Danio rerio: one gene and its partners. The protein of the gene in region 3 purifies or fractionates together with the protein of the main gene of each other region. This does not show direct contact. Links are inferred from orthologs where the notes say so. Each region holds a gene or a part of one and is shown on either strand. Other genes may lie near its edges. The genes, in order: stk35l, kpna2, ctdspl2b, pdik1l and kpna1.

The links.
Region 1: the proteins of ctdspl2b (region 3) and stk35l purify together in Homo sapiens (affinity purification with mass spectrometry; 3 studies listed by BioGRID and IntAct, counting the BioPlex papers as one, with this or other methods). This does not show direct contact. The link is inferred for Danio rerio from reciprocal best matches to the Homo sapiens genes CTDSPL2 and STK35.
Region 2: the proteins of ctdspl2b (region 3) and kpna2 purify together in Homo sapiens (affinity purification with mass spectrometry; 4 studies listed by BioGRID and IntAct, with this or other methods). This does not show direct contact. The link is inferred for Danio rerio from reciprocal best matches to the Homo sapiens genes CTDSPL2 and KPNA2.
Region 4: the proteins of ctdspl2b (region 3) and pdik1l purify together in Homo sapiens (affinity purification with mass spectrometry; 4 studies listed by BioGRID and IntAct, counting the BioPlex papers as one, with this or other methods). This does not show direct contact. The link is inferred for Danio rerio from reciprocal best matches to the Homo sapiens genes CTDSPL2 and PDIK1L.
Region 5: the proteins of ctdspl2b (region 3) and kpna1 purify together in Homo sapiens (affinity purification with mass spectrometry; 3 studies listed by BioGRID and IntAct, with this or other methods). This does not show direct contact. The link is inferred for Danio rerio from reciprocal best matches to the Homo sapiens genes CTDSPL2 and KPNA1.

What each region holds. Positions count from the first base shown.
Region 1 is NC_133181.1:41,391,891-41,398,853, reverse strand, and holds the start of stk35l (serine/threonine kinase 35, like), read right to left. Parts: upstream 3,911-6,963; 5' UTR 3,754-3,910; coding exon 3,288-3,753; intron 1-3,287.
Region 2 is NC_133178.1:24,114,677-24,119,767, reverse strand, and holds part of kpna2 (importin subunit alpha-1), read left to right. Parts: intron 1-638; coding exon 639-724; intron 725-813; coding exon 814-1,082; intron 1,083-1,180; coding exon 1,181-1,275; intron 1,276-3,626; coding exon 3,627-3,890; intron 3,891-3,977; coding exon 3,978-4,211; intron 4,212-4,299; coding exon 4,300-4,482; intron 4,483-5,091.
Region 3 is NC_133182.1:31,420,371-31,427,312, forward strand, and holds the start of ctdspl2b (CTD small phosphatase-like protein 2-B), read left to right. Parts: upstream 1-2,628; 5' UTR 2,629-2,761; exon of another isoform or gene 2,762-2,796; intron 2,797-6,942. UniProt on the Homo sapiens protein: Probable phosphatase.
Region 4 is NC_133194.1:16,641,025-16,648,123, forward strand, and holds the start of pdik1l (serine/threonine-protein kinase pdik1l), read left to right. Parts: upstream 1-2,443; 5' UTR 2,444-2,619; intron 2,620-7,099.
Region 5 is NC_133199.1:24,832,201-24,839,288, forward strand, and holds the start of kpna1 (importin subunit alpha-5), read right to left. Parts: upstream 4,740-7,088; 5' UTR 4,568-4,739; coding exon 4,405-4,567; intron 1,950-4,404; coding exon 1,813-1,949; intron 1,251-1,812; coding exon 1,137-1,250; intron 1,050-1,136; coding exon 950-1,049; intron 860-949; coding exon 765-859; intron 94-764; coding exon 1-93. UniProt on the Homo sapiens protein: Functions in nuclear protein import as an adapter protein for nuclear receptor KPNB1. Binds specifically and directly to substrates containing either a simple or bipartite NLS motif.

The DNA of each region.
Region 1 (6,963 bases), on a different chromosome or scaffold from region 3:
CAAATTACTCACTTTCCTCTGGATTCTTGTGTGATTTCGGGTGTTTAATATTTTTCATTTGTTGACTTTAACTGCAGTTTAACAATTCCTTTTTCATTCAGAAACATTTCAAGCATGCCCCCTATGACAAACAAGATATTGGAAGAGAGTATAGACTGCTAGAACAGAGTTGTTTTAGTGGAATTTGATATTGTACACCGTATGGGAAAAAACCTCCGCATTTCACGATGCAGGTGTCTGTGATCCTTCCCCGACTCGGTAGGTGCAGAGAATAGTGTCAAAAAGCTGTGTGTATATGCTATCCTGTAGCAAAATGCAGTGAAAATCCAACAGAATGGTAATAGTTTAATAGCGGTGTTTACATGTTTGTACTGAACTTTAATAATGCAACTAAAATCGGTGTACTCCACATCTTAATTCAATTTCTGTTTAGATCGATTATGATGCTCTATGTCTTAATCGTATTAAAATCAGTTTATTGGTGTCCATGTAAACATACTCAGTGTTGAACATATTGGTGAAACAAAATGCTCTCTACAATAAGAATGTCATTTCCCTAAATATCCACAAGCCTGGCTGAAACAAATAAAGAGATCAAAGGAAATGACTGAAATTTAATGAAAGTAACTGCATCTTATTTTAATGCACCTGTAGTCAAAATCTACAGTTAAATGCACCAGTGCCTGCAGTTAAAGGAGTTCATCCACTATTTTTTTACTCTGAAAGGTGCATACCCAATATAAAAATTGATAATGCCAATGTAATCAAAATGTATTGCCATTGCATATTTAAAAAACATTAATAAAATGCCACTCCAACAAACTGTTACTTGGTTTTGGTCTTTCCATATTCAAGCAGAAAGAGTTGCTCATGCATGCCTGAAAATAGCAGCAAGGGGCGTTACAAATTTGGCCGTAAAGTAAACCAACTTGCTTTTACCAACTAGGAACTCAAAAATCACACACTGCACATATTTAAGTGTCAAAACAATATATTAAAGTGAGAGGGTATAAGCACCAAACAGAAGCAGAAACAAATGCAATAGATTTAAAAGACGACCTGCTTTGTCATCACTTTCAAAGGCTGGATTGCTGTGTGGAACCAGTTTGAGGCTGTTTACGGTTTCTTCCCAGAGGACCAAACTAGCTCCCATATGAACAGCAAATACTGACTTGTATCCCCTGATAAAAGCCAAAATGCCTTAGTGTAATTAATAAACACTGCACTGTGCTTTCAGGGGTTTTATTTTTATCCCTTTCCTGGTTCTGTTGAGCAAGCATTACCTGAATCTGCACATGCTGCTGTAAATAAAAACCATATTGTGAGACTCACAGGTATTACCAAAATCTAAAGAAGGTCTTATTGTAAAACTTCAAAACTTTCTAATGACGTAATTTGATGTTGTCATTTACATTGAAAAAATACTCAAGAACAAAAACACAATCAAACCATCACATCTCTTTTTGTTAAAGCACAAAATTATTCTGAAACAATATGAAATTCAGATTTTTAATATTGTCACCAAAATAAAATGGCTGCTTGTCTGCGAATTACCTCGCTTTACTATGTCAAGAGCACATGGAGCCAGAAAATCATAAATATTTTTGCCAATTGAACTTGATTTGTGTATTTATGAATTACATTTTTAATTCTCAAGTTGGATTAGTGTATTTATGAACCGCGTTTTGAAATTTATGAATTGGATTTGTGTATTTTTGAATCGTGGTTTGAATTCTCGAGTAGGATTTGTCTATTTATTCATCGCATTTTGAATTTACGAATTGGATTTGTGTATTTTTGAATCGTATTTTAAACTTACAAATTGGATTTTGTTGTGGATGCATGAAAACTTTGTAAATGTATTATTTTTGAGACTGATTTGGCTCCATAAGCACAGCGTAAAACTAGTTCATGAAATATGCATGATTATTGATTTGTTCTGTTGATGAAATCGTCCTCAAGATGCATTGTAACTTTGCGCTAAATTTCTTCCAATTTCACTTCAACTAAGGCCTTTTTCCGCCACCGTTTTCATATAAAGGGAGGGGGGGGGGATTTTCATTTACACAACAAAAAATATTTTGAATGCCTAAAGCGTACATTTTTAAAGACACATTTTAAAGTGTAATTTCTTAAAAACAAAGCAATTATTGTCTCTATTCAAACTACAAAAACGTGATTTTGTGATGATGGTGAGGTCATGTACTTATGATATGTATTACAAGTTCAGTCAAAAGGTATGTGCAAGTTCATGACAACTTGAACAACAAATAGCAGGCCACGGCACAGTATGTGTGCAGAATGTGTAGTGTTTCTAAATTTTTAGTGTTGATATGAACATAGGGTGGCCTTACAAATAAAAAGCAGCTAATTTTTGTTATTTGTTTGTGGATCTGTGGCCAGGGATTGCTGTGACAATATCGTCATCCATCTTAGTACATTGTTGTTTTGCTAACATAACCGTAAAGTTAAAGGAAACATTAATGTATATTTCTCAAAATATATATTTAATATAGAAATTTAGATAATTCTTATAAACATGCCTGTATATATGAACATGAAGACTATTCACGGTGTAATACCCACACAACAATAAACCATCCTTTTTCTACTTTCAGATCCACATAAACTAAATATAGACTTGTATTTGCTTGAGAGCTGTTGATCGTCTAGCATCACTTTGCATATCATTCAGTACACAAAGCTACATCACGTTGATGACTCAGGCATACATATGAAAGCAGTCAAACAAAGAGGCAATCCCAGCACATTAGGATTAACGAGGCCGGATTGGCCTGTATGAAAATCCCCACCGTCTTCTTTTTGGGTGTAAAATACGTGAACAGTTGTCATGTAAGTTCCTTCATTGTTTTAACAAGTCGACATGATTTGACCCCAAGACCAGCACCTCCCCCACTCCCAACCTCAGTTTCATAACCGAGAAAAGGCTGTGGGAGGAGGGCAAATCTGACCGACTTTCGCCTTGTTTACTTTTTATGTAAGAAATCTTAAATGTAGAACATAGACATGCGCGATACAAGCGTCCGGTGTCATAAGTGAGTCACTGCCAAACAATGGATCCTTGCTCGTTTTACCTCATATAACAATGCTAAATCACTATACATCGACGTTATGTCAATTTTAAATGCCCAATGTGTCATTTCGACCAAGCGAGAGAGCTGTCACTGACAAAAAACACTGTTTGAGCATGACAAAACCCACATACACTGTTGACCTTCTAGAACAATTGCAAAATAGCATTGCTTGAATGAACTAACACCCCTCACCTTTCAGCGAGGTCTCCACCAGCCTCAAATACTGCTTTGAACGCTTATTGCCATGGCTCATTTTCTGGGCCATCCCGTTTTTTTGGAGCACACACTCCTCCAGCTGCACCACGTTCTCGTGGCGCTTCTCCAGGCTGGTCAGAGCCCAGAACTCGGCCAGCGCCAGCTCCACATTCTCGGGCGCGTCACAGCGCAGCTTTTTCACTGCCACTTTCGCACCTGATTTACGGGCAATGGCTTCGTACACAACGCCATAGCTGCCCCTGCCAACTTCACGGAGCAAGCTGTACCGCGGAGCAATGATCCGCCTCTCCAGGCTGCCATGTTTGCCCATGTCCAGCTCGCCTGCCATTGTTTCATTCTCCTCGTCAATGTTGTCGACGCTGAGCGAGCGCAGGACACTCGCGCTTTCGGCTCGTTTGCCAGCTTTGCGCGTCCGGCGCCGCTCTCGGTCCTTTGCGTTCATCGCGCCTCCTCACGTTGTGTGCGTGCGTTGGCAAATATCTTCCGCGTTCATAGCTCCAGGGCTCGAGGAAGTTCAGCAGCGCTTAAATATTAGCTGACATCTGGTTTGTTTTCATACGGCGATTCAGCGACCGTCCTGCATCTGGTCCGAACGGAATGAATCTTGAATGAACTGAGAGAACTTGTCTGGATCGTCCCACTTCCCTGTTCGGTGGGGGGGGTCGATGACCCGCGAGGACACACGAGACACACGTTTCAAGTAAACGCCTCTTGTGGCTTGAGTTGTGTTGTTAAATTGGTGCTGAAGGAAATATAAGACACCGTGTGTTTTTAAATACATACAATTTGTTCATGTTAATTTCATCTAGGCTTTTTTTGAAAATGTGTTTAACGTTACGAGTGTTGTTTTGTAACATGACACTGAAACAGTTGTCACTTTTGCATTTAGCAGACACTATTCAAAGTGACATACAAATGAGAGCAACAGAAGCAAGCAAATTCTAAAAAGCAATAATATTCACGTGCAGAAGTGTTTTTTAAATAATTAAATGGATTTATTTAGATTTTGGATTGGAAATATTTAACTGAAGTCTATTTTTCTTTTTATTTACCTTGGACAAGGTGAAATGTGTATCACATCTGAAGGAGTGTAAGTGTAAATTTAGTCATAAATGGTTTATTGTCGGTAATAAGACAACGTTCTGATAAGTTTGTCTTTTGACGTTCTGTAAGAAAATGTTTTATTTAATGAGGGTATTATTTTCCCACTACAACTATGTTATGTGTACTTTATGATTGTTTATTGTTTTTTTTAATACATGTATTAATATATTTCTTTATTATTTACTATCACCATCATTGCTATTTTCTTGATATTTTTGCATCTCACTGTTGTGCTACTTATGCAAATAATGTTTTGTTAATATTAAAATAAAAAAGGTATTACATAAAAATAGCATTTAAATAAATCAAAAACAAATTAAGTGTGTATTTATAAAAATTTAAAAAAAGAATTACGTCATCTGTTTGGCCCTTCTAGCAATACTCAGCATGGGCTACATGCTGTGGTACATCAGTACATTGATTTCTAATTGTAGATTAATACTCGCTTTCCTTTTATGTTCACTTCAGGTTGTCAATGCATAAAACCCGTAAATACACGTAAACACGAAGACCGTTGTCACCCGTGGTGTGGTCCAGAATGGTTCAGTCCCTCCAGCATGAGCGAGCATGTGCTTCTACAGCTCAGCGCGCGCGCACACACACACGTGGCCGGACACGATGAGGAGCATCTGGGCTTCTGAAACACCCATCACCTGCCATCAAATATATTTGAAGTGAATCAGAACTTTCTTCTAAAGCGACCATTTTTTCACAGTCTCCTGTATGTAGGTTCAGTAATTTCACTGTTATAGCAAAGAATAGGTTTCTTTTATTGTTTTTAAAGTGAAATAACTAAACATAAACATAGGAAAACGCTAATTTTAGAGGAAAACTTAAGACAGCACTCAGAGGTTTTTGTATGTGAACTCTTCTTTTACAGCTTTGGAAAAAAGGCGGCTATTTTAGAATTGTCAAGTTTTTCTTATTTATGATTTATAGTAAAACATATCTTTGTTTATTCTGCCTTCCAAAATTGAAATAAAACCAGCATTTAAGGCATTTATTAGTTTTAAAATAATAAAAAGCGCCATGTTTTAAGACATATTCATATACATTTTATATCATATAATATTATATATCAATAGATTCTTGTTTTGAAGTATAAAGAAATCATCTTTTGGTGGCATTACCATGACGGTTGGCATGAAAATATGTAGCCTATAATTAAAGTCAATTGTATCTTTCATAATTTTTTATATCATACATGTATAATATTGTGTATTTTTTATTTCAATTCAAGGTTATTTGTATAATGCTTTTACAATAATTATCATTTTAAGCAGCTTTATGAAATGTTCATGTTATTACATTAAATCAGAAAGGGTGGTTAGTAGTTTTTTTTTTTTTTTTTTCTTCAGTTGACATGGAATTGAACCAAATTTAGGTAAAAACCCAAACATTACAAAGATAAAGATATTACAAAAAAAGTTATCTGAAATAATAATGCAATCACACAAGAAGAAAGTACTGAACTACTCAGCATTTACTTATATTAAAGTCTTTTTTGATGATGCAGCTTAAAGATGCCTCATAGAGGTCACGTGCATTGTTCAGATGTGAGTTTTTACACCGACTTCATCAGTGTAAAAATCTTGATGGTTCTGTGGATCTCGTCTATCTTTATTTTGCATTTTCTATTGGATTCAAGTCAGGTGATTGGCTGGGCCATTCTACAGCTTGATATTTTTTCTCTGAAATCATTTCAGAGTTTCCTTGGTTGGTTGTGATTTGGATGATTGTCTTGCTGAAATGACCACCTTGGTTTCATCTTCATCATCCTGATAATGTTGATGTTGGACTAAAGCAATAATTTGCAATGAGGAAGGGCAGAGGGTTGGTGAATAACTACTGGGAGATTTCAGCTACAGTCTGGGCTTTCTCTGTCTTTCTACACATCCATTTTTTCTTGTGTTCAATATTTTTTTCCTGTGTCATTTCATTTTACTACACATTACTTAATTAGTAAATTAATTAACATTGTTTTCTTTGCTATGTGAATTTTTTGGTTGTTACCAACATCTGGTAAAAATTTCAAGCCAACAGCACCTTTAGAAAATATGTTATCTGAGAAAAATGGTGACGTGTTGAACACTTATTTCCCCCCAGTATATAGTGTTGCTTCCAAAAATGTGATTTCTATGTGTATAATACATGTTCACCTTTATAGACTAAAACCTAAATACACAATTATTAATCCAGTAAATACAGAGAAAATGTGTGAAAAAGAGTTTTTGAGAATCTAATCTAGACAATTTAATTTCTAAATTTGCTAATTAATGTCTCTTTATTTTACTTTACTATTAAAAAGTAATGGTGTAATAATGGTGTAAATGTTATAATTTGTAAACAGTGAGTGAGAATCAATCCATTGTGTACAGTATCAGAAGACTAAGCTTCACAGAGAAAGGATATAAGCTTTCAGATATTATTGAACAGGATTTACATGGCTTACATAAGATGACAGCATTACGAAGTGGCAGCTGTTGCTTCTCACGATCTTCTTTACAATAACAAACACTGTCTCATGTCTTATAAATTAATAAATTCC
Region 2 (5,091 bases), on a different chromosome or scaffold from region 3:
ATTCGGAGCTTAAATGTTGCTTTAAATATGCAAATGATTTGATTTAAAAATACACTTTTTGCATGTATCTCTACAGCAAAAATGTAAACACTGGTTCAGGTTCAAAAGTTAGTTTCAACTTTTGTTTTTCTGACGCATTAATTCAGAAAATACACCAAAACCGCTAGATATTTTTAATACTTGTAATTTTATTTTTTGAGTAAATATGTATATGTCAAATTTTGTATAAGTGCTTCTCACTGTAAAAAAAATAAAATAAAATAAACTTTAAAATTAGTAAAGTATTTTACAAAAGTACATGAGGCACAAGAAGATAGTTGATGCATATGCACAAGTTTGGCATATGCAAGTGCTGCTGGAATGGATATCCATGGCTTTGTCCTGGATGGGGGAAAATACTTTAGAAATGTATTGCAATTTTAAATCTACAGACATGTGTTGATAACGTGCTAAAATAAACCCTAAAGTGTTTTGGATTTCCTTCTGATACCCTAAAAAATGTAATATGAAAGGCCAAAGGACCAAACTTGCAATATTGAGATGTGCGTTTTTTTTTTTTTTTTCGTTTTTTTTTTTTTTGCCTGTAAGGTCTTGCCTTCAATGTTACACCTCATAAAATCTCCATTCTGTTCATACAGGCACAGCACTGGACAGTGGAGGAGATTGTAAATGGTGTGAATAGTAATAACTTGGAGACTCAAGTCCAGGCCACACAAGCTGCCAGGTAATTCCCAGTAGATTGCTTATACATGTGCAGATAGCTCTATTCATCTCAACTTGTATTTAAGCTTCATTTCTTACACTGACATGCAGGAAGTTGCTGTCAAGAGAGAGACATCCACCTATTGACCGCATAATCAGTGCTGGTCTGATTCCTAAGTTCGTGGGCTTCCTGAGCCTGGTAGACTCTCCTCCTATACAGTTTGAGGCGGCCTGGGCTCTGACCAACATTGCATCTGGAACATCTGACCAGACCAGCGCCGTGGTCCAGGGAGGGGCAATCCCAGCATTCATCAGCCTCATCTCGTCACCACATGCTCATATTAGCGAGCAGGCAGTTTGGGCTCTTGGAAACATCGCTGGTGGGTGCTAAGTAGAATATTTCAGTTAGATCCCTTAATTTTCTTTTTAATGTGGGTGTACAAATTGATTTGTTCTTTTTGTGTTTGTGTGTGTGTAGGTGATGGTTCTGGGTATAGGGATAGAGTCATTAAGCATGGTGCAATCCCCCCCCTCTTGGCTCTGCTGGCTGTTCCTGATTTGTCTGTGTTTCCTGTAAGTTATTTATATAGATGGATTTAAATTGGTTTTAAAGTTATTCTCAGATGGGTGTCCATTGTAATTTGGTAAAAATAATTTTGAGAAATGTATTTATTGCAATATTACAATCTAAGTTGGTTAAAATATTGTTGTTGTTGTTATTATTATTATTATTATTATTATTATTATTATTATACCAAATAATGTGAAGCTGATTTAGACCAATTTACAGATTGAATATCGCAAAAATTTGTCTTTTTATGACTTTTTAAGAAGTTTTAAAAATAACTATTCCTCAGATAATTAAGTATCAAAAACATTTGATAATTAGTGAGGACAACATTTGTAATTAAATAGTGAAAGGCAAATTCCGAATGTTTCAGAATTTGCGCATGAAAATGTAAGAAAACCCCAGACAAATTCATTATATTTTCATGCACAAATTCTGAAACATTTGGAATTTGCCTTTCACTATTTAATTACAATTCTTGTCCTCCGTAATTATCAAATGTTTTTGACCTGATTCTCAAGCAAATAATAAAAATTATCGGTTTAATTAGTTTTGTTCTTGTTTATTTACACTCTAAGCTTAATAGATATTATTATTATTATATTAAATTTATTATAAAGGTATACACTTAAGATTTACTTTAAACCTTGGGCTCTTTTCACAATCCATGCGCAGGGTGCAAACGCATTAGGGCATGTCAGAATCCACTTTTTCTTAAATAATGAGGGAAAAAATCCGCTTTGCGCCATGGCGCATGGTCTGAAAGGGTTCAGCTTATTTTATTAATGAGTTATAGATGTGTTTTGAGAATAAACCAATCAGAGTCTCATCTCTCATTCCCTTTAACAGTGCGTTGCATCGCACCATAGCGCATTTGCTATTTACATGACGTAAGTGGAAAAACTGAGCGTTTCACTAGCAAGAAAACAGTTAAACAGAGCATCTACAGCGCGAGAATGAGAAATGAGCCTCCTTATTAACTTTCACGTTTGTGGATAGGGAAACGTGTCATACGCACCGACATCAATTAGCCTATAAGTAATTAATTTAGTTTAAGCGCAAAGATTAGTTTTAAAACTATTTCTAAAATCTGTTCTAATTTCCAGCAAACAAATAAATGAACAATAATAACGAAGTGTGTTCAAAAACCTGAGTTATATCCTAATACACATGCTACTCCCATATGGTCTGAAACCTGACAGGTGGGCAAATCTAAGCTCGTTTTTAATTAAGCAAATATAAATATGCATATAATACTGCTAAAAATAATACATTATACATTAGCAAATTGTCATGAATGAACTGAAAAAGCCTCCCGGGATGAAGGCATGAAAGTATAGTTTTTATATTAATTTAGGCTTGAAAATAATCTTTTGTAATATTTTTAATCCTTAATATGTATTATATTTTAATTTTTCATATGTAAAGATTTTTGCGTATTGCTCTACATTTTGTGTGTATTAAGCAGTGTGTAAGCGAGGCGCACAACTAACGTGCTCTGCTGGACAATAGACCGGCTTTGTTCAGGTCTATAGAACCGACTATTATAGTTTCTCAAAATAGCAATGCACCTCAACACGCCATCTTTTTTTAGATCAGAACGCCTATGGGCGCACATATGATTGTAAAATAAAATAATTGTGTTTTTTTTTTTTTTTTTTTTTTTACAAATTTGATGACTACAAATTGCTAATTGCAACTTGTAACATTCTCCCTATAAATTTACATTTAGAAAACCTATTAATGTATTACATTTTTTTTTAATCCGTCTATAAGCTTCTACTGGTCCAGAACTCAGCTGCCCACATCATCACTAAACTCTTTTTCACCATATTACCCCCATTTTACAAAATCTGCACTGGCTTCCAATCCAACCTAGAGTCGATTATAAAATCGTCCTGCATACTTTTTAAGGCTATCCATAACCTCACACCAGCTTATTTGTCTGATCTCTTCCATATCATCACTCATTTCTGCTCCCTTAGATCCTTCTCCTCCATACACTCTGTTCCCTCTGCCAAAGCTATTTGGCTATTTGTATTTTATAATCTTCTCTTTTTTTTTTTTTTTTTTTTTTTTAAATATACTGTGGGTTTATTTTTAAATTATTGAATTGTGTATATTTGTTGTACAGTGATCATGGGTTCTTGAAAGGTGTATTGCATAAAACGTATTTAAAATTATTAGCTAAAAAAAATTAAAATAAAGGTTTTTACATGTATTATCTCTAAACCTCAAACAATGTTGTTTTTGGTGTTCAGGACTATTTGTTTTAAACTGTAGTGAGCATGCATTACCGCTAGATGGCGTGAAAGCTGTGTAGAATTACCCTGACCAGCCAGTTTTTCTTCTACAGGCTGGTTACCTGAGGAACGTCACATGGACCTTGTCAAACCTGTGCCGCAATAAGAACCCTGCACCACCTCTGGAGGCTGTGAAACAGATACTACCCACACTCATCTGCCTTCTGCAGCACAGTGACAAAGAAGTGCTTGCGGACACCTGCTGGGCCATCTCTTACCTGACCGACGGGCCCAATGATCGCATTGAGGTTGTGGTGAACGCCGGTGTGGTTCCTCGACTGGTGCAGCTACTGGCATCTGGGGAGCTGTCCATTGTGGTAAGTTGGTGGAAAGTAGTGAACTCTTGAGTTATACGTTTAAAATGGTAAATTTAATAATAACTTTTTTATTTTTTCCTGCCACAGACCCCCTCACTACGTTCTATTGGTAACATTGTCACTGGCACAGATGAACAAACGCAGGCTGTGCTGGAGGCTGGTGCTCTTCCCATGTTCCCAGCTCTGTTGCGCCACCAAAAGAGCAACATTCAGAAGGAGGCGTCCTGGACTCTCTCCAACATCACGGCTGGCAGAGACTATCAGATTCAGGAGGTCATCAATGCTGGCATTGTGCCGTACCTGGTGGAAGTTCTCAGACGAGTATGTCACCACATGAACACAATACAATACTTGTTCATGAAGTTAATTTATTTTCAACTTAATTTTTTCTCTCTCTTGCCTCATGCAGGGTGATTACAAGACCCAGAAGGAGGCTGTTTGGGCAGTGACCAATTATACCAGCGGGGGCACAGTAGAGCAAGTGGTTTACCTAGTTCAAGCCAACGTATTGGAGCCCTTGTTGAACCTGCTCTCCACTAAGGACAGCAAAACTATTCTGGTCATCTTAGATGCCATCACAAATATCTTTTTGGTATGAGTCAATTTTAAGTTGAGGGTAAATGAGTTTTATTGATCTTATTGAAACCAAGTATAGATGATTTTCATCTCGACTGCTACATCTCAAAATAAGGAGTGAATCAGATTTTATTAAATTTTTCTCTAAGAAGTTTGTCACATGTTGCCACTTGTGTGTTCAGTAGCTCTTCTGTCATGTGTGCATTTACAGACCAATTTATTTGCCCTCCTGTGAATTTTATTTATTTTTTAAAATATTTTCTAAGTGATGTTTAACAGACAAGGGCATATTTTTTATTTTTTAAATGCATCCTACTGAGGAAAAAATATAAAGGGAAGTCTTGTTTCTTTTAGTTTGACTGGAATAACAAAAAATACAATTAAACTGTTAACTGGTGAGGTTGATGTAATTGGCCCGACTACTCTAAATCTCTGGATGCTAATCTTGCAAAATGACTAGTGATAATGATGTTTTGTTCTGATATTTAGTTACAATATTATTTGGTATAATCCCCTCTGACCCACACACAGTTATGACTCACTTTGGCTTCGTTATTTCAGATTGACTGAAAGAACTGATTAATCCAATTTTCTAGTCGCATAAATTAAGGAAACATCACAAACT
Region 3 (6,942 bases):
GTTATTTAGTTAAAAAAAATTTATTGAGCTCCCGCCTGACTGATCAGAGCGCACTGGCACGGTGTCCTAACTTTGCACGATACGCGCCGCGGCACGCAATAAAAGCTATCTTTTTGGAGTTAGTAGTTTCTGTGCCAACCGTCGGCGACAGTGATGCGTGACATTTCATTTTTAGACACCGCTTCTATTTCTGCGACATCGCGGCAGAATACGTGATTAAGTTGTGTTGCATGATTTGTGAGGACATGGTGTGAGGCACTTGACCAATCAGTGCACACAGCTGCCTCCTGACCAATCAGAGCACCCCGGGCCCGCCGACCAATCAAGAGAGTACATCAGCTATATTTATACTATACAGTCATTGTTCGAAACACCTGGTCACATGACTAAAGCGATTCAAAGCATCGCACATTTCAGAAGCGTTTTGAGACCTGGCGAATCTGCGTTTGACTGACAGAGTCAGAAAAAGTTTCTGTCTCAAATAGTCTAGTGGACCGTGCATGTGCACGATGTTAGAGTGCTTCAAATGGCTTTTAGGTTCGAATCCCGACTTGTACAAATACTCCGAAATCATGATTTTCTGTATTTTAATAATGTTACTGTTTTATGGTGTAGTTTTAATCACTGTAAAACAATAATTAATATTTTTACTGTACTGTGATGGTTGGGTTTAGGGTTTGTGTAGACGTTAATAAAATACAATTAATGGGAAATTTAATAAATAGTATAAATAATTCTTGTTAACTTCCGGCTACAACCGTGTCTGATTTAGCAACAATCCTGTTTTATGACCAAAACAAGACATATTTGTTCACAAAGTTTTCATTCAGATGTCAGACCAATGTCGAAACAAAATGATGCAAGAACAAAGCACTATTTTCTAAACAAATGTGCATGTCTGTGTTTATCATTCCATCGAATTAAACACAAATAAGACACATACAGTATACTCCGTGTATTTGAAGAAGCAGTCAATGCTTGAAATTAGGCTATGGGTCACCTTTAAACTTAAATAGGCTTTTAATAACGGATATAAATGAAAGATAAATAACAAAAGCAAAAGAGAATCTTGCAGGAGTGCTGTCTCAAATGATCAATGATTGTGTAATACCGCAACACCTTTTATTTCAAAACATTTGAGCTGGTTTCAGCGCTTAGTTCTTTAATTTTCTTTTTCATTTGTTTCATTTTTAAAAATTAACAAAAAATAAAAAAGGTAATGTAATTGTAAAAATAATGAAATATTAAGTTGGTAATATAATTCAATAATAATTTCAACTCATTAGACATGGGAGAAAAAGTAAAACACCATGTGAAAAATAAAAATATGGATTTACAGATGTTTCAGTAAAATACATATATATTTTTTTTATTCTGTAAACTATGCCATTTATTTCAATTTAAAGATAAAAATGCCATTTAAAGATGATTGTTCTTGCATAAAATAATAAGAATTTTATGTCTCGCACATGTTTAATTTCATTTAGACAACACGATGCCAATGTTTTAACCAGAAGAGCTAAACAAATCTGGATTAACTCAGATTTTTGATCACAGCAGTTTGTTATACATCATTTGCTAAGGTGAGCAATTATTAATAATAATAATGATGTCACGCAAATGACAAAGATTATTTTTAAAAATGTTAATGAACAGGGTAATACAATTTTTTTTATTTACTCAAATGAATCCAAAGGCAGTAAATCCAGAGAAACAAAGTTGTCACCTGGTCTCTTTATTTTAAATAGCTGTACATATATAACAACATCATATATGGCGTTAAAATGTACGTATTGTATCAATATGCTAACAACGTTTATGAAACGGAATGCTAACATTTTATGTAAATGTTATAAAAATACACCAGGAAAAAAAACATTTAAGCAAAATAAAAATATAACATCATAAAAGAGTGATAGTTTAATGATTAACTACTAAAGAGACCGTGAATATAGTGAAAGTCCCTGGCTTATAGATTGTATCATTTAGAGGCCACTAGTTAATTTCCCTTCTTATAAAGTATTGTATTAATGAATGCCTCCTTTTGGAATGTCCTCATAGCACGTGATGGAATCTGAAATGTAATGGTACTGAAATTCATTTAATTCAGGAATCTACACAGCCATAGTTCTTCGTAGCGGTACTATTGCCATGACAACCAAAACGTGCCTCCCTTCTCGAGTCATCATACCGCAGGCAGGCGCTCGCTCTATTTCAGTCAACTGACGGTGATGAGCTCTGCATAAATAAATCTGATATTCATGCTGGCACGCAGTTAATACTTTAGTCTGTTACTTTTGTTTTATTATTACCAACATCAAACAAATTAATCTACACTTCCCGGTTAAAAATACATCTTTGTTACCTCAGTTTCCATGCTAAATAGCCGACAGTAACTTCAGAAATGCTCTGCGCTGTGTGTTTGTTTTGGTTGTGCGTGATTCTCGCTATTGTGTTGTGAATTTTAAACAGACACTGTACGCTGAACATGTCGCACTGCGAAGCCTCGATATTGTTTTGATACTCGGAACAAGAGAAAGGGGGTGTGGGACGCGCGCCGCAGGACGCATGCTCGGCTCGCTCCTCTCTTCATCCGGGTACCTGCCGTTGACTGTGTGGGTACGGAGGCGGGAAATGGCGTCCAGAGGTGCGGGGAGGACAGAGGTGAACCTCAACTGAAGAGGCACGCAAACAACCGCAAGTGACAACAGCCCGAAAATCGACTTTTATCCCGCAACTCGATCCCCAGGAGCTTTGTGCAGTAAGTTATATTACCACTATTATGTTTTGCATGTGGTGATTGGGTTCCCCCATAATATCTCGTCCGTTCGCTCCGGTTGGAAATGTTTCGCTGTGGTTCGCCTCGCCACTGTATTCGCCCGGACAGGCAGCTGCCGTGGTTCCCGCGCTTTCTCTGTCATCATTAGAACGCTGCCGGTTGTTTTGAGTGGCGCGAGAAGCTGCTTCAAGTAATAGCGGGTCACGAGAGGCAGGTCTCCTACGGAGAGAAAGCCTGCATGTGTCCTACATTGAAGACAGACATGCACAGATGTGTCAGGACCGTTTACTGTATGTAAAAATACATCTCACGTTTTCGGCTCGTGGGCAGTGATTGTGTAAATCATTATTATTAACGTCTGACCTAAACGGGCAAATCGAGGGAAAGTTGCTCGTCTTCCGTACATAATGTGTTTGGCGTGTGTTTCCCGCCCACCGCGACACTGTGTTCAGTTTTCACAGCGACTGAACTTCATTTCTGAAGTGTCTGATGAGGTTGTTTGGTTATCTTGGTGCTGCGCTTATTGTCTTTTGTTTTCCACCTTTTGGAGTTATTGACTAGTTATTTGACTGTAGGACAGTGGTTCACAAGCATTGTCACTCCAAAGGTCCCCATTGTCAAGTCAGTATTGAAGGCCCCCGCACAGAGCCAGATTTTACAACTATATATATTTATTTTTAGAAACTGTTAATAGATAATGAAAATAGAGTAATAATCTCAAGATTTGTGTATGTTTTAAACATAGGAAGCTGGATTTAAACTACTAGGCTGTAGTATAAAAATTCAGATTTTATAACCAATATTTGATTAACTTTCTGCTCATCTATCTTATGATTTTGTAAAAGACAAAATGGTAAGTTCAACCACTTTTGGACAGCTGACCACAGTTTTCAAGTGGAGTATTGAAAAAAGCACTGTTCAAATACAATTGTCTATATGAAGGTTCAGCAATGTGCTGAAAAAAAATCAGAAAATTCCTGAACTGCAAACTACACAGCTTTAAAAAATGGGTTTTGATTAAATAATGTTAAATTGGAGTGGTTGTTTTTTTGGTCAATAATAATATCTTGTTATTATTTACATAATAATAAAATATTTTTGGTACCAAAATGTGAATGTACTAAAACAAATTAAACAACTTAAATGAATTAATGCAAGCTAAAAAAAGTCTGATAATGTAAAAATGTCGGCTAATTTTAATTTTAATGATAAATAATGATATGTAAATATTATCAAAACAACTCTAATACAGTAAAAAATCACCTTCAAAAATGCTTGTAATGTAACAGACATTTTGTTGGTTTATTGAGGCCCTGGTTTGTTTGGGTTTCCAAAGTTTTTTTAGAGAACATCTAAGTTTAAAGAAAGAAGTTGTCTGAATTTGTTTGGTGGCTTGATGCAGCTCACCTAATCAAACATTTAGGATAGTTCATTTTGTCTTGTAAACACCTTTGACCTCCCATTGGTCCATGACCATTACGCAATCAGTGGGTGTGTTCTAGAACTCTGTCTTCTTTGATCCTCAATTTATTCCCCCTGAATTGTTTCTCATTCTACAGAGGTCAAACAGAACAACAGCCAAAATGTCAACATTAGCTACTTGAATACGTAGGAGTCGAGTAGCAGAGCTGGTACAGATGTATCTACACCTGTAAGATCGCTCGCAGGGGGGATTTTTAAGATTCTGAGCGTGTCATACACCAGATGAGAAGCCCAACTCTATGCACCATGTCTTTTTTTATGTGTTTGCACTAGGCATGGGTCGGTATAAGATTATGACAGTATGGTAACCTAGGATAAAAATACCAAAGTTTCACGGTATTGTGATTACTGCTCTATAATATATTATTTTTAAATGTCTAGGTAAAAAAAACTTTTTTTTGCCGTTGAAAACTGTAAATTCTATTTTTTGAAAGATTTATGATATTTTGGAGCAGTAAACATGTCAGGCTAAATAATTAAAATGAATCATTGAATCATTCATTTGTTTCAAAAACGCTGATTTCTTTACAATTTAAAACGGCATCTTTGGAGATCTTTTTTTTACTGGAGATACAAAAGAAAAAGAGCGTTTTGAAAAACAAAAAATGTAAATAAAAAAATCTTACACATACCTTAGGGAACGGTATTACAGAAAGTTTGGCTGTAAATAAACCTTGACTTTTCCAAACTGCGGTATACCCTGACAGAGATTATTGTCCCATGCCATTCGATGTCTGTCCTTGAAAACTGTAAAGATGCAATAGGCCATGGTGTTTCTTTTCGTTGTAGAGGTGTTTATGAAACTGTTCTTTTCTCTCAGACACCATCATTGTGTTTAGAGTAAACATCCAAGTAGTGCGACACATTTACAACCACACCTACTGCAGTGTAGGGGTCTTGGAGTGTTTGAAAACAGTATACTATTACTCAGCCTTTTCAATCCTCTGTTTGCCATCAAACGAAGAACCAAAAACAATTTGTCTGAAGTAGACCTGAGCCTGACATGGATTCTAACGATATGATAACCTTGGATAAAAATATCACGGTTTCATTGTATTGTGGTTGCTGCTCTAAAATAAGTTCTTTTTAAATGTCTAGGTAAAAAACTAAAACTTTTGAGAAACATTTATAATATTTTGGAGCAGTAAACATGTCAGGCTGAATAATTTAAATCAAATATTGACTTCTGCTGTCATCATTGGTTTCAAATACTAATATCTTTTCTACTGGAGATACTCTTGTCCTTTAAAACAACAACAAAAAAAGTAATTAATAAATCTTTTATATACCATAGGAACGCTATAACAGAAAATTTTGGTGGTTTTAAAACCTTGGCTTTTCCAAACTGCGGTATACCTTGAAAATGGTTATCGTCTCATGCCTAGTCAAAAGCATACTGGGGCCTTTAGAAGTTCACCAGTTATTGCCATCAGACCAGGTTGATTTAAAAATGGCTCTGGATGAGTTGTTTGCCTGACATGCAATGGGACAGATAACTTGTAAAGTGTCTGTGAATATTTTTTAGTGGTGTTTTTTTTTTTGACATACACTGAGTGAACCCCAAATTATTCAGCATTGCATTTTCTGGTTTATAATGTGCTTTGAGTGTATAGTTGTAGATTGCACAGAGATATTAGTCATTTTAATAAATTCCAGCATCAAACTGAGAAGACACAAGTAGCTTCAGGGATCAGTTTTTGGAAAGCTATCAGTGTCCTTGAATTTACTGCTAGTCTGTCAAGGCACATTTTTATTTTACACTTACATTGTTTATTGTATAATATTTTATTTAATAGTTGCCAAAATCAGATATTTTCCTGCTGATGAGACTGTTTATGTCTGCTTGTGTGATTTTTAAACTTGGAGTTTGCCTATTAAGAAGCCTCATTGGATCTCGCTGTGTTGTTTAAGGCTGTTGAATCTCGCTCTGCTTCAGTTCTTGCTGTAGAAAGACTGTAGCTCCTCAGTGTTGTGAGGTAGCTGTCTTGGCATGATGTCTGTTCGAGGCAGTGGATGAGTCACCATTTGTGGTGGTTAAGGAAAAAGCTGAGATGTATTACCAGCTGTAGCCTTTCTCTCTCTACTTTTCACCATTCCTTCTCTTCTCTAACATGCTTCCATGCAGAAAGTCTTGTTATTCTTGCTGCTTCTCTCTAGCTAATAACACACTGCAGCCTTTGCTGGGTGAGATCATTGTTCCTGTCCTAAAATGTAAAACCAAGAAATAGACATTTCTTATCATGGTCGGTGGAATTTTTTATGTGTGTGTGTGTGTGTTTAATGTATCTTGCATGTAATTACGGAGGCATTCCGGAGGGCTTGAAAATGTACAGCATTCTTCGCATTTTGTTAGATCTACAAAAGTTACTGGGAATCTGTTTTGAAAGACTAGAAAATGTGTAAAAAGAAGCTCAGAGTGGATGTGCATGCGAGTTAGATTTCTTTATGGTGAGTTTTGGGAAGAAACGTACAGTCAAGGTTGACTTAATGCCTGTAGGGTCACAAAAGCTGGAGCACATTTGTGGTCGGTGTTACGTAAGCACACTTTCAGGAGGGGTACACATGACAGTGCTGGTAGTTAATTTCAGGATTACTTTTCCCCCCTTGATGTGCAGGGTTGTCTTTAAAAAAGAGAGGGATACTTCCTCCACATGAGGAAAACATTAAGTCATGCTTTTTTT
Region 4 (7,099 bases), on a different chromosome or scaffold from region 3:
TATATTATATATTTTTGATGAAATAATGACTGTTTTGGTCTAGTTTAGCAGCGAGAATAGATCCTATGTATCCGAACAAAAATCACAGATTTGCACTTTTTTTTTTCAGTTTTTCCTCCCATCCTGTAGCCTACTCGTTCCGCATTACCCCAAGGATTAAACAAGCTTATAAGACATTTAAAAAAGCAAGCGATTGCTCATTGTTTTAAATTTCTGTCCAGAGAGGTTGTGTCCATGTTTTGATCCTCGAGTCGATTGGTCTCACGCAGTCAAGTGATGCGATTTCGCAGCTAAGAGTTCACTAAGCTTGAACTTTGCGACGCAGCAACCTGTGAAACTTAACGCAGGACCCTGCATTTCCGGTCTGACGCATTCGTGTGCGCATGAATGGAACTCTATGGGAGAAAAAGCCCAGTGTGACCGCCGCTTTAATCGTTTGCTTTCCTGGGTCTCTTCATGGTCCTCGGGCGTGGGGAAAACATAGTGGCGTTGTGATTAGGCAGATTGCCTGTAAATCAAACGGCCAACATGAGGTGAAATTCGGCAAGTTTTATGCCTGCATCACACTCCCTCGTCCGAGTACACTGTGTTATTTGGCCTTCTCTTCATGAATTCCATGCAGAAAGTCTGGAACACAGCAATGCCCTTGATTGGTTTTTCAGTACCGCAATGCATTGTGGGAAGCACACTTTGCCCTTTAAAGCGGCTTAAAAATACAAATAAACAATGATGTAAACAAGGAAAATGACAGGACGTTGCTCGAAGAGCTGTGTAGAGTCTATGTTTGCAGTCTAGACGGCAGTTGAAAATGTTGCGCATCGTCGAGAATAAACAGCGCCCCTATCGGCAACATAAAACACAGTCTGCGCCTCTTTGGACCAGCGGAGGCCAAGCTGGAGCTAGTCTGCTTGTTCCCCAGGCTCTGCACAGCTAGGCAAATTACAAATTGAACCAAAACAACCTATATAAATTGACCTAAGATTGGCAAAGTGGACTTTGCATGTTCTCCCCATGTTTGCGTAGGTTTCCCCACAAATCCAAAGACAGGTGTGTGAATATGTTTGTTAGTGATGGGTTGCAGCTGGAAGTGCATCCGCTGTGTAAAACAGTGGCTGGATATTAAGCTGGCGGCTCATTCTGCTGTGGTGACCCCTCATTAATAAACGGACTAAGCCAGAAAGAAAATTGATTAATCTATCCATAAATCCCTGCATAAATAAAACAATAATTAAATACGCAAATGAATTAATAAATAAATAAATGAATAAATCCACAAATCCCGGCATTAATAAATACATAATTAATTAGTTAATAGAGCAGGCTGATAAATGATGAAATCAATTACACCAATGTTCGGGGAATAAGAAAATGCTAAACTGAAAAGATTAGAGTATGGTCTTTATGCCATCATTGGTTAATGGATAAAACAATTTTGCATTGTATTTTTTGGACTGGCATCTGAAGATTGACAGACATCCTCTTTCTGACTTCTTTTCTATATATTGCTATTTGTCCAACATTGTTGTAATTTATTTCATTATGTATTAGTCCACACTATCAGTTGTTTCTATATTTATTTATGCAGGAATTTTAAGGATTCAATAATCCTGTCTTCCAGGCATCGTATTGGCAGTGTTGACTCTATAAAAGCTCAGTGGTTAGCGTGGTCGCTTTTTTAACAAGAAGGACTTCGGTTTAAGATCTGGCGGCTGGAGACCTGCACTGTTGCACCCTGGCTTGACGCATTAAATATGCAAATGAATAAATAAATAAATAAATAAATAAATAAATCCACAAATCACGGCATAAATAAATACATAATTAATTAGTTAATAGTGCAGGCTGATAAATGATGAAACCAATTACCAGATCTCTGGATTACTGCTTTAATTTCACAATTTTCTTTTGCTTTTCATTTTATCTAATTTCTATGTTTGTCTTTTAAAGGTTGGCAGGACTGTTAGTCATTAATGACAGAATTTCAGTTTTGACGGCACTAATCTTTTTTATGAAAACTGAGGGGGCACAAAAAATGGAATATTATACACAAATTGTCTAAAAGGAATATTATACACAAATTATTTTAATACAAATCTTTTTATTCCAAAAACTCAAATGCCATACATGCGTTTTATCACTTGTAAAGCAGTAATATAATTTAATTTAGTATAGCCTTGAGGATATACTGTCATCTTTCTGAGATGACATGACTGAGACAACATTTTATATTTATAATAATTGTTAAAGGCCTAGCAGTATCTTGGCAGTAACTACCGTTACCATGGTAAAATTGCTCTGAGTGTGATGTGAATGACAGAATACGGTTGATGTGTTGTTAGAGAAAGAGAGAGGGCGGTGTTTCTCACTTTAGCTGCACTTCCCAATGTTATAAGACAGTCAAAGTGTGCGCGCTTGAGGAATCTTCGACGCGGACGCGACATACAAAAAATGCAAGTGCGCGCACGGGCACGCGCTCACGAACATACATACACACACAGCTGCGAGAAAAGAGAAAGCGAGAGTCGAGGAGTGTGTGCGGCGGCCTCGCGCTTATAATGGCTGCCAGGAAAAGCACAGCTGAGGAAAATCGGTTACATTGGGAATAGGATTCGTGCACAGGTAAATGTTTCTCGTGTTTGTGTGTGTGGTTGCAGTGGGACTCTTTGTCTGAGCATGTGTGTCGAGCTGCTGCGCAGGTGCATGTGTTGTTCCTGGGAGGCTTGGTAACGAAATCTACCTTTATTGTTAATGTCACAACAACGTATAAGCACTGTGCATATCTCCTGTCGTGTTGCGGGCTATTGCAACGTGTACTGTTAAAGCTGGACAGTGATATACAGCTGGAGAGCGGAAAACAGCGGCGCTGTGGCCGAATCGGACAAAACCAACAGGCCTTTAACACCGCAAAAGCACATGACTGCATTACAAACACAACACGCGATTGTATTCCTGCGATTTCTGCTCATGCGCTTCGTTGTTCCTAATCTAGCAGTTAAAACAGTGAGTGTGCAATGTTTCCTTTGCCCTTTGATCGCTGTTTCCTCATGTCAAGCAGCTTCCGCACACACGTGTTGGCAGCGCAGTCGCGTTTGTTTACCATTTACGCTAACGGCATTTTAAAATGTTTCAAGACCTCCTGTTCGTGAAACCCCTTTTGAAGAATCTTTTACGCTGTGTATTTGTACATGTTTGAAGCTTTTATGTTTCTGAAAACATCTCAGTAGAAATGCTAAATTCAAAATTTGAGTTTGTGGCATTATCTTTACGCTTTTTGTCCAATCAAATGGCTTTTTGAATGTAATGCCCCTCCCCCTAGATACAACTCTTCACTACATAAATGAACTTTTTAAATCATGGTTAAAGAGCGTGATCGTTCAATATGTTCCTCCCTACTTTCTTGTCAACACGGGAAAGAAAATGATACGTTACAGGGAATCTAGAAATCAAATTTATTAGTGTTTATTTTATTTGACAATGAGATGGTCCTTTAAAAAAATTTAACTTCATCATTTGAATTCTGTGTAATGTTGAGACCTAGACTGGATACTGCACGAGTAGTATTAAAAATAATAATATTTTTAGTAATAATAATAATAATAATAATAATAATAATAATAATAATAATTAATTATTATTATTATTAAATCAAGTTTTGTCTCTTATAAATTAAAAATTGACAGTAGTTAATTGTAGCAAGAGTGTGAGTTGAGATCCAGATGTTAATAGGCTATGTGCACAATTAGTGTTTTTCAAACTTGCGGTGAAAGCTTTATGTGATATACTGGGGTAAAATTAATTTACATATTTCAAAGACATGGTGCAGAAAAATATAATTTAATGCAGTGCTTCTTGTTTGGTCTGATAGCCATTTTATATCGTATCTCAACCAGGCAGTAAAGATCACAGTTTTTTTTTTCAAAGAAATCATCAAATACTGCGATTTTTGTATGGGATGACAATTAACCTGAAGCCCTGGGGCTGGCCGACTGAAATGGAAAATCTGTGTGCATATCCGTCATTGTTGAATAAAAAGTAGCAGAAATTTGTTACATTTGGGATGACAAATGAAAATCTAAGGACATTTAGTATTAAAAGTGCACATAACTAATATTTAACAGAAATGCAGTTAATTGTTGTGCTTTTCTAATTTACCTTCTTCAATAAGTTTATAATACGTTAAAGCACAGGTGTCAAACTCAGTTCCAAAAGGAACTGAGTGTAGAGGTGCAGCTCTGTGCCTGTGTGCAGAGGCGCAGCTCTGCACAGTTTAGTTCCAACCCTAATTAAACACACCTGATCAAACTAATCGAGTCCTTCAGGCTTGTTTGAAACCTACAGGTAAGTGTGTTGAAGCAGGGTTGGAACTAAACTGTGCAGGGCTTTGGCCCTCCAGGAATTGAGTTTGACACTTATGCGTTAAAGCAAAGATCTCAAACTCGATTCCTGGACGGCCACATCTCTGAACAGTTTTTTTTTTCCTGCGAGCCTCCAGGAATTGAGTTTGAGACTATTGCACTAAAGTTTTATGACTAGATCCCAGATTTCTGCCAGGGGATCTAGATCAGGGGTGTCCAAAGTGGATCCTGGTGGGCCGGGGTCCTGCAGATTTTAGCTCCAACTTGCCTCAACACAGCTGCTCGGATGTTACTAAAAAACCTAGTAAGAGCTTGATTTGCTGGTCCAGGTGTATCTGATTTGGGTTGGACACCCCTGTTCTAGATAGTATTACTACAGTAAAACTGGTAATATTTGGTGGTTTTGTGGAATGAAAAGCCTTTTAACCTGATCTTTGTTCCACAATGATGCAGCTGGTCTTCTTTTTTGCTGGGAATGACAGTGTTTTCATTTGTTGTTCTTAACTAAGCAGTATTGTGTAAGGATCATATAAATGACTTGTCTAGTGAAATTCATTCTTTTAAACTTGCACAACATTGATGAAGTAGCAATGTATTGTTAAGCTTTTATGTGCTCTAAGTAGTAGGGTTGCACAATATGGGATAATATGCGATGTTGATGACTGATGAGTATTACAATAATATTTTTATTTTTTGCTAAATATTATGTATTTAATGATCATACTAAAATTAACCGATAATAGACATTTTACTAATTTATTTGAGTCAGTTTTAGACAAAAAAAAAAATCAATGCGCAAGCATTTTGACTTTAAAAAAACAATGAACTTTAAAAAAAAAAAAAAAAAAACATGATTTCTTGTTTCAACTGGCCTACAGTTAAGCAGTTGATTTTTAGTGTTTTTAGATCCAGTCTGACAAACTCTGGGTCTGGTGAAGGCATGGACCGGTAAAAGATTGTGACGATATGATAACCATGGATAAAAAATATCATGGTTTCATGGTAATGTAAATACTGCTCTAAAATATATCATGTTTAAATGTTTGGGTAAAAAAACTAAAACTTTTTTTGCCCTTTGAACACAATTTATTTTATTTTGAGAAACATATAAAATATGTTAGAGCAGTTAACATGTCAGGTCTAAATAAATCGACTTCTGCTGTCTTCATTAGTTTCAAAGACACTGATTTATTTTAATTAATTTAAAATGACATCTTTGGAGATCTTTCTGCTGGAGATACTGTCGTCCTAAAAAGTAAATAAAATCTTACTCGTACCCTAGGAATGATATAGCAGAAAAGGCTAGCGTTTTCAAAAAACATGACTTTTCAAAACCGCTGGAGACCTTGCCTGGTTTGATGGGAGCACTTTTAGCTTAGCTTATTGAATCAGAGTAGACTCTCAGCGTTTTGATCAATGAGTTTAGATAACTTTTCTATTTCAATTTTGACACTTCTGAAGTTCCATCATTTATTCAGATCGACGAAAAAAAAGAAAGGTTGCTGTTTTCTAAGCCAATATGGCTAGGAACTTTACTCACATTCTGGTGTAATAATTAAGAAACTTTGCTGCTATATCATGGTTGTAGCAGTACAGAGCGTACACTGGAAGTAATAAATAGATAAGTATAGGTCACCTTTTCCAAATCACTTAGGGAAAGAAAAGTTTTTAAAAAGTAATCGTTGCAATGATTACTGAATTCATTTGTCTAATTTCTATTTTCATCAAATAAAAATCCTAGATTCTTTATTACTAGTTTTAAAGATAGTTTAGATATATAAAAAAAAAATCTTACATATACTTTCTTAAATGTATTTAAATGCCATCTGCATACAACGAAACAAAAAAAGAGGGTGACAGTCTATACATATAAGTCTAGATGGATGGATGGAAAACTGTAACCGCCAACTTTGATAGTAGAAAAAAAAATAAAATACTATGGAAGTCTATGGTCACATGTTTCTTCAAAATTTCTTCAGAACAGAAAAAAAAAATGGTTTTGGAACAAGTGAAGTGTGAGTAAAACATGACTGAACCTAATTTTGCGTCAACTATCCCTTTTTTTAAGGAAGTTATTGGAAACATCTTCTAGTTTGTGTTTGTTATACTAGTTTAGGTCCACTTAAGGCTCCTACACACCGGGACACTTTTCGTTTGCATTAATCGTCATTGCTTTGAGACGTTTTTCCGTATTCAAACCCAAGCGATTTTCACTAGCGTCAAGCAGAAGAGTATGCAAAAAAAAAAAACGAGCATTAGGCATTTTTTTTTTTTTTATATGACGCTTTTGTGCCTGCCGTTTTGCGCGTTGGTGTGCACGATCACATTGTCGCCATTTATTTAGTCATGAGGCGTTAAACTTCAACGGAAAACGCAAGCAAAAAACGTGTTGGTGTGCATGGGCTTTTAGTGTTCATACTGTTATTTTTAGAACGGAACCTAAATACACAAACCCCAAAACAGTTTTTTGATTCAAATTTTGTGACAGAACTTACTAAATGTCCTAATCAATACTGTATGCTGAGCTAAACTTGTTTGTTGTATGTGCATACTGTACATGTGAGGCCATTTTAACTAGTTCAGAACTCTGCCAGTAGTTCAGTTGAACTTCACCAGTGTACAATTGGAAGTGTACCGAAGCCCACTGTTTCATTAGTCTCTGTGTGCAGATGAGAGCTTGAAAGAAACACAATGCCTCTACATCACTGCCTCTTGTGTTATCTTTGCATGGAAACTGCAGTAAA
Region 5 (7,088 bases), on a different chromosome or scaffold from region 3:
AATGAAAATGGGCACTGCCCCAGCCTGGATGACCACACGCGTCTGGTGGGATGTTCCTGAGGCGATGTTAGTCAGAACCCACGCTGCTTCAAACTGCACACAAAGACAAGACGTCTGTCACCATTCTGCACAAAAATGTTCACTAATGCACCATTCAAGAGCTGATGGGATTAAATAAAGATTCAGAGAAGACTTGCAGAATATACACATTCCAGGAGTGTGAGCATGTGCTGGGAGAGACTCATGCTGGATGACTCACTGGCTCACTGCTGCGACTTGGGGTTTTCAGTCTAGCAGGTTTTTTTTTTTTTCAATTTGTGAAACAAATCTTGATTTGATTCAGTGAATATAGATTTCACAATCAGCAAACACTATTTCAGATACATGTAATAAGAATTATGAAATATAGCAGGGCATTTTCAAAAATAGTAGGCCCCTTCATAATGAACATATAAACACGGAGATTCTAAATAGATCAAATAAATTCTACATAAATTTAAAGATATGAAACCTCCCCTTCTCATCAGCAATGAGTTTTTGACTTTTTTTACATGCTCTTGGAATGAAAACGATTCAGTTCACAAAACAAAAGTCAGAACAGTTCCAAAAGAGTTTTTATTTTCTTTCTTAGGCTGCTGTCTTTTTAATACCTTACATAAATAATGTGTCTTTCTCTCTTGATGCAACATACTGTTTTAATATTTCCAAAGAAAAGAAATATATAAAATCTCTTGGGATTTTAATATTCCTTAAATATCCATCACCTGTAGTGTGCAGTTCTCTCTTCTTTTCAGGAACTCAACAAATCGCTCCACGACACCAGGGGTGGCAATAACCTCATCAATAGGGGGATTAGGCTCTAATGGAGGGTTACAAAGACAGAATTAGCATAATTTAGCACTAATTTGATTATGTAAATGCTTGATTTTTAGTCTTTGGGGTATTTCACCTTTAGATAAGAGCTTTCTGAAGCGCTGTGTTCCTATGAGCTGTTGTTCTGGAGAGCTGGAGAAGATCATCTGTATCATGTCTTCAGAAATAACACTTCCCTTTAACGATGGAAAAACAAAAAAAGGCAATTAATTTTTCATCAGTAAGTAAAAAGCTAAGACTAGCCTTCATTTTTGCTGTACTACCGTGATTTGGTCCATATTGTTGGCCTGTGATTCCAGGTATCCGCTGTCAGACATCCCATCATCTTCCAGTGCTCCATCCTCCTCCACTGTGGCCACATTTCTGCGCTTGAACAGCTATAAGAACGTTCAAATTTGTCAAAGTTGAAACTTTATCCCCAAAGCTTCTCTTAAGAGTGCACTTTACTTGCAATTTTATTTAAATATATTTTATTTTTCAATATATATTTTATTTTTTTATTTACAATCAAGCACTCATGCATCTTCACGACTCTTCAAAATGAAAGCTTCAATTGATGAAATTGAAACAGAAATATTGTTGTCCAGTAGAATGTACTTTTCTAATAATAATAATAATAATAATAATAAAATATTTAAAAACATTAAATATGACAAAAATATGATACAATATGATTTTATGCTAGCCCAGTAATAGTTAATAGTGAATATAATACTTTACACTATATACAATACACTTTTATAAATTTTAATCAAACAAATTCAGATTGGTGAGAAACTTTTTTTCAAAAAGACAAAAATTTCTTTTCATTATATTGTCTCAAAGTTCATTCCATCCTTCCTATAAATTTAAGGCTAGTTTAATAATATCTTTATTAGTAAAACCACAAGAGTCAAATAAAACAGAAAAACAAGTCACTCTTATCTCCACTTGACTTACTTGTTCATCTTTCTTTTGTTTTCGAAGTTGCAGGCCTTCTTCCTCCCTCCTCCTCCTCATCTCATCTGTGTTGAGCGATTTGTTTTTATAGCTTTTGAGACGTGCATTGTCCTTCCCTTGACTCATGATGTTGTCTGCTGTAAAGAGACGATCAAAGCAAGATGAGCACAATAGAAAAATCATCAAGACTTATTAAAATACTTGCTTGATCTCTGCTAGATCACAGACCTCTTGAAAAGATCATTTAATGTCACTTGTTTCCATAGGCAGTGGAGACACACATACACACAAATTTTTACATCCTGCATTAGTGACAAAACTAATCTGACAGCAACCTTACTGAAAGGTCCTGTTATGACATTTTAATATACCTTGTTAAATAACATTGAGAAAAGTAAACATTTTAAGAGAAACCTATCCAGAGATTAACTATTCACAATTAGGAACATAAGATGCATTTAGAAAATAAATACATTGAATTTTCTTTTAATTTCATTTCAAGTTTTTAGCTTTTTCTTCACATTACTTTTATATTATTCACAATTAAATATATATATATATATATATATATATATATATATATATATATATATATATATATATATATATATATATATGCACAATATTGGAAAAATCTAACAATGCAATATTTTTTTGATTTTGCCATATAAATGAAATTTTCCCAGATGACTTAATATCTTTATTTTTGTCAAGAATTTATAATGTTAGATCGATTGGGATGATTCTGTAGTGGGAGAGCATATAAACAGTTTCTGTATAAACAATTTCTGTATTTGCATGTGCTGTGTTGTGAGTATTAATGATGAATTAATTTTTACTATTTGCATCCCTATAAAATCAAATAAACAATCTTTACATTTTTAGGGTACCTACCCAGACACATTTTTGTTGTGGTCTGTGCTATTTGCAGTGCATTTCTGTATATGCACTTGTGAGTATTTTTATTCATAACAATCTATTAATACAATCAACAAACTTCAATAAAAATAATCGTAGTTAAGGTCACAAATTGTGCAATTTCTTATAGCTGAATGCTTTTGAAGACATTATACAATCACAGGCATAAACAAAACATGTGCAAATGATACATTTTAATACAAACTACAACAACATTGCATATCCTGCGATATGACTATTGCGAATGATCACATTGCAATATTGATCGAAACGATATATTGTGCAGCCCTAATACTAACATTATTCTATTTTAAATTATTACAATTGTCTTGCTGATAAATCTGTAAAAAAGAAAGAAAAAAGTTTGAAATGTAAATGAATTATTATTTTTTGCTTCACTGTAATCCTTAAATTGGGTTTTATTATGTCATTGAAAGATGCCCACAAAACCTTTTATTTCTAAATTTTATGCTAATATGGTGAAATCTGACAAACATACTTTATCAACAGAGTGATAAAATAAGACATTCAAAATCCCTTTTGCATATGCCAATAATATGAAACAAAAATTAACCAGTGCTCAAAATTGTATGTTTAAATTTAAGTACATCAGCCCATTTTGAGTTCGACAGGACCTTGCTTTAATATGAAACCTGAACATTTCAGACACCTAATGGATCATAAAACAATTAACAATATTGAGGAAGTATGGTGATATGTATTAATTATTATTCACTGGTTTAGCTATTTCTACCCTGTTCAACAGTGGTGCTTTGGCCCAATATCTTCAAACTATTTATGTTTCTTATTTATTAGTAGTAGTTGTGGCAATGTTTTCTATTTTAGGACTGCACTGTTATCCTTACATACAGTCTTCTAATACATCGTCAAAAGACTACTGCTTTAAATGTGTCTGACATGATTTCTGGCATGTAAACAGTTTGGTGTCTTCTTTAAATCATGGTAAAAATGTTTGTTAAGACTTTTTTTTTCTAAACTATATATATTTTTTCTATTTATAAATTTAGTCTATGATTTTATTTTGTTTGTTTATCAGACGGTTTTCAACATGTCAGGCAAATTTCTAAATGCTTTGACACTATTTTTGATAAAAATATTTCATAAAAGATAAGGATTAAACGCAAAGCTTGAGCTAAACAACCACCACGGACGATAACATTTATTATTTATTTATCTCTAGCCAGTGTACCTGTGACATTTAGTCTCAAACTACTAAAAACAATATAAAACAGAGGCTGCATGGATCTGTCAGTGTGTTTTGGGCAGTGGTGCTAGAGCCCGCAGTGAAGAGGATCGACCCATCAAACCATCCACACCTAAAAACAGCCGCCAAACGCACCAATCTCACCGATCATCGCATCACAGAAGCGGAAACGATCGATTCAAGTTAACAAAATGTCATTTTTGCTCCACACGAGCTAGTGATCATCGACTGAAGAGCAGGTTTGTTAGTAATATCGTCTTAACAGCGGACTCGCCTCCCCCTCCCAGATCTGCGCAGCAGCCTCTGTTAGCTTATCTGCTAACCCAGCCAACAAGGTTGTCCGACTAACGCCTTTTATCTGTGTTTTAACATTATAATCTTTTGAATTTGACATCATGTAGACGGAATAAAACCAGACAGACACAAGTTATCCACACTGGCGTACTGACCTGTCAAAACGGCCTCGTTTATCCCTGCGTCGTTTAAGCTGCAACCGTTCAGCCTCCGCCGGTATAGTGACACTGCACATGCGCATTGTGAGAGGACATCGTGTGCGAAGCGCATGTCTGCTTCTCGGTGTTGCCAGTTCTGTGTAACGAACAGTGTTGCCATCTCCGCGCTTTATAAGTAAACATTATAAGCTTATATACATATATTTAAAAACAAATACATAGCTTATAATAAATTATCTATGTAGATACCTTTTATATCACATAACTCATTTTGTAGCATTCATACAAATCATAAAGCATATGCCAAAATAATTGGCAGTTCATTTCGCTGTGGTGACTCCTGATAAATCTATTATTATTATTATTTTTATGATTATTAATAATAATAATAATTGCTTTCGCCTCACAGCAAGAAGGTTGCTGGGTCGCTGGTTCAAGCCTCAGCTTGGTCAGTTGGTGTTTCTGTGTGGAGTTTGCATGTTCTCCCTGCGTTTGCGTGGGTTTCCTCTAGGTGCTCCAGTTTCCTCCACAGTCCAAAGACATGCGGTACAGGTGAATTTGGTAGGTTAAGTTGTCCGCAGTGTATGAGTGTGTGTGTGTGTGAATGAGTGTGAGTATGTTTTTTTTTAAGCCAGAAAGAAAATGAATGGATAAATGAATGAAAATAATAATAATATTTTATTATTATTATTAAGTACATTTATTTATTCATATGAACGTCATTTTTATCTATTTATTTTGTATAGGCCAATCATATATAATTTAAATTGAATATCTACATCTCATCTTACTTATTTGTTTACTCAGTTGTTTTACACAGTGGATGGCTGTATGCCTTTCCAGCTGCAACTTAGCACTGAAAGTACAACACTCAATGCTGGGAAACAACCACAGACTCTCCCATTCACACACATTTAGCCAATTTAGTTGATTCAGTTTGCCTATAACTTCACCTACATCTTTGGACTGTGGGGGAAACCGGAGCACCTGGGGAAAACTCGAGCAAACACAGAAATAGCCACACAGAAATAGCAACTCAAACAAGCAACCTTCTTGTGGTGAGGCAACCATGCTAGCCTCAGCCAATGTGCCATGGCTGAATGAATTGTTATCATATACACATTCATTCGTTTTCTTTTCAGCTTAGTCTCTTTCTTAATCAGGGTCACCACAGCAGAATAAACTGCCAACTTACGCAGCAATATGCCAACACAGAAATGCCAACTGACCTCGAACCTTCTTGCTGTGAGGTGACATCGCTACCCACTGCGCCTCCATCATATACACATATGTATTTTTATTATTTGTATAAAGAAATATATGTGAACAGTAATTTATAAATACAGTAAATCCTTTTGTTCATGTATTATCATCATATCACTTTTCCTTTATTCTTACATAATCACTCCTTTTGTAAAATTATTTAACAATGTTGGTTTATTACTCTCTTTTTGTTTTTATTGAGTCACTTTGAATGTTGTTTTTGTATTTTTGTATAAGTGTTTTTGTAGGCATGTTTTTCCATCAAAATCTGGCAACATTTAATCTTTTCATCCGCACCATATGATGCTTTCAGTGTTTTTCTCCTTTTAAGTCTTACATAAAAAAGGTAATATACGAAGATAATATTATTTAAAAAAACTCATTTTACAAATGTGAAAATCTGAAACTGTCCCCACCTTTGAAATGTGGGCTAGAAAGCTTGGAAATATGTTACACTTAGGAGAACAGAGATTCACACTAAATGACAGATTGTCCAGTTGTAACAAGATTTGGGAACCATTCATAATATTTTTTTAGATAGACTGAACTGATATAGACTTTTACAAGACTGTTGTATGGTAATTTATTTGTTTATTTAATTTCATTATTTACTTTATAATTATCTTATAATTATTTTAGAATTTATCTTTTGGTAATCGCCTCACAGCAAAAAGGTCGCTGGTTCCAGCCCCAGCTAGGCCAGTTGGCTTTTCTGTGTGGAGTTTGCATGTTCTCCCCGTGTTCGCGCGGGTTTCCTCCTGGTGCTCCGCTGCCTAAAACATGTGCTGGAAAAGTTGGCGGTTCATTCTGTTGTGGGGACCCCTGATTAATATAGGGACTAAGCCAAAAAGAAAATGAATGAATGTATCTTTTGGTCTAATTGTCTATGTACACCTATTGCTTCAATTGTATTTATTTTTTTGTCCTAGCCAGTTCCATAATATGATTGTAAATGTTATTCATGCATGACTTTTATTTTATTTTTTGCTAACTTTCTACAAACATTTTGATCAATGTTAGATGGGTGGGATGTAGGGTTTTGAGTTCCTTTTTGTTGTGAGCCAAATTCACTGTGAAAGTCTTTCCAAGAGATTTTTGATATGGATCATCTCTTTCTTGTACGGATATAGGCGGTACTGTGTGTATGTATTTTTTTTTTCAATGAAAATAAAGAGTTTAAAATATATACAGTTGAAGTCAGAATTATATATATATATATATATATATATATATATATATATATATATATATAGTTTATGTATACACACACACACACACACACACACACACACACACACACACACACACACACACACACTGTAAAACCCAATAAGTTAAGGGAACTCAAACAATTTGAAGAAACCGATTGCAACAAACCATTTCATTTAAAAAACTGATCTATATGAATACTATGAACT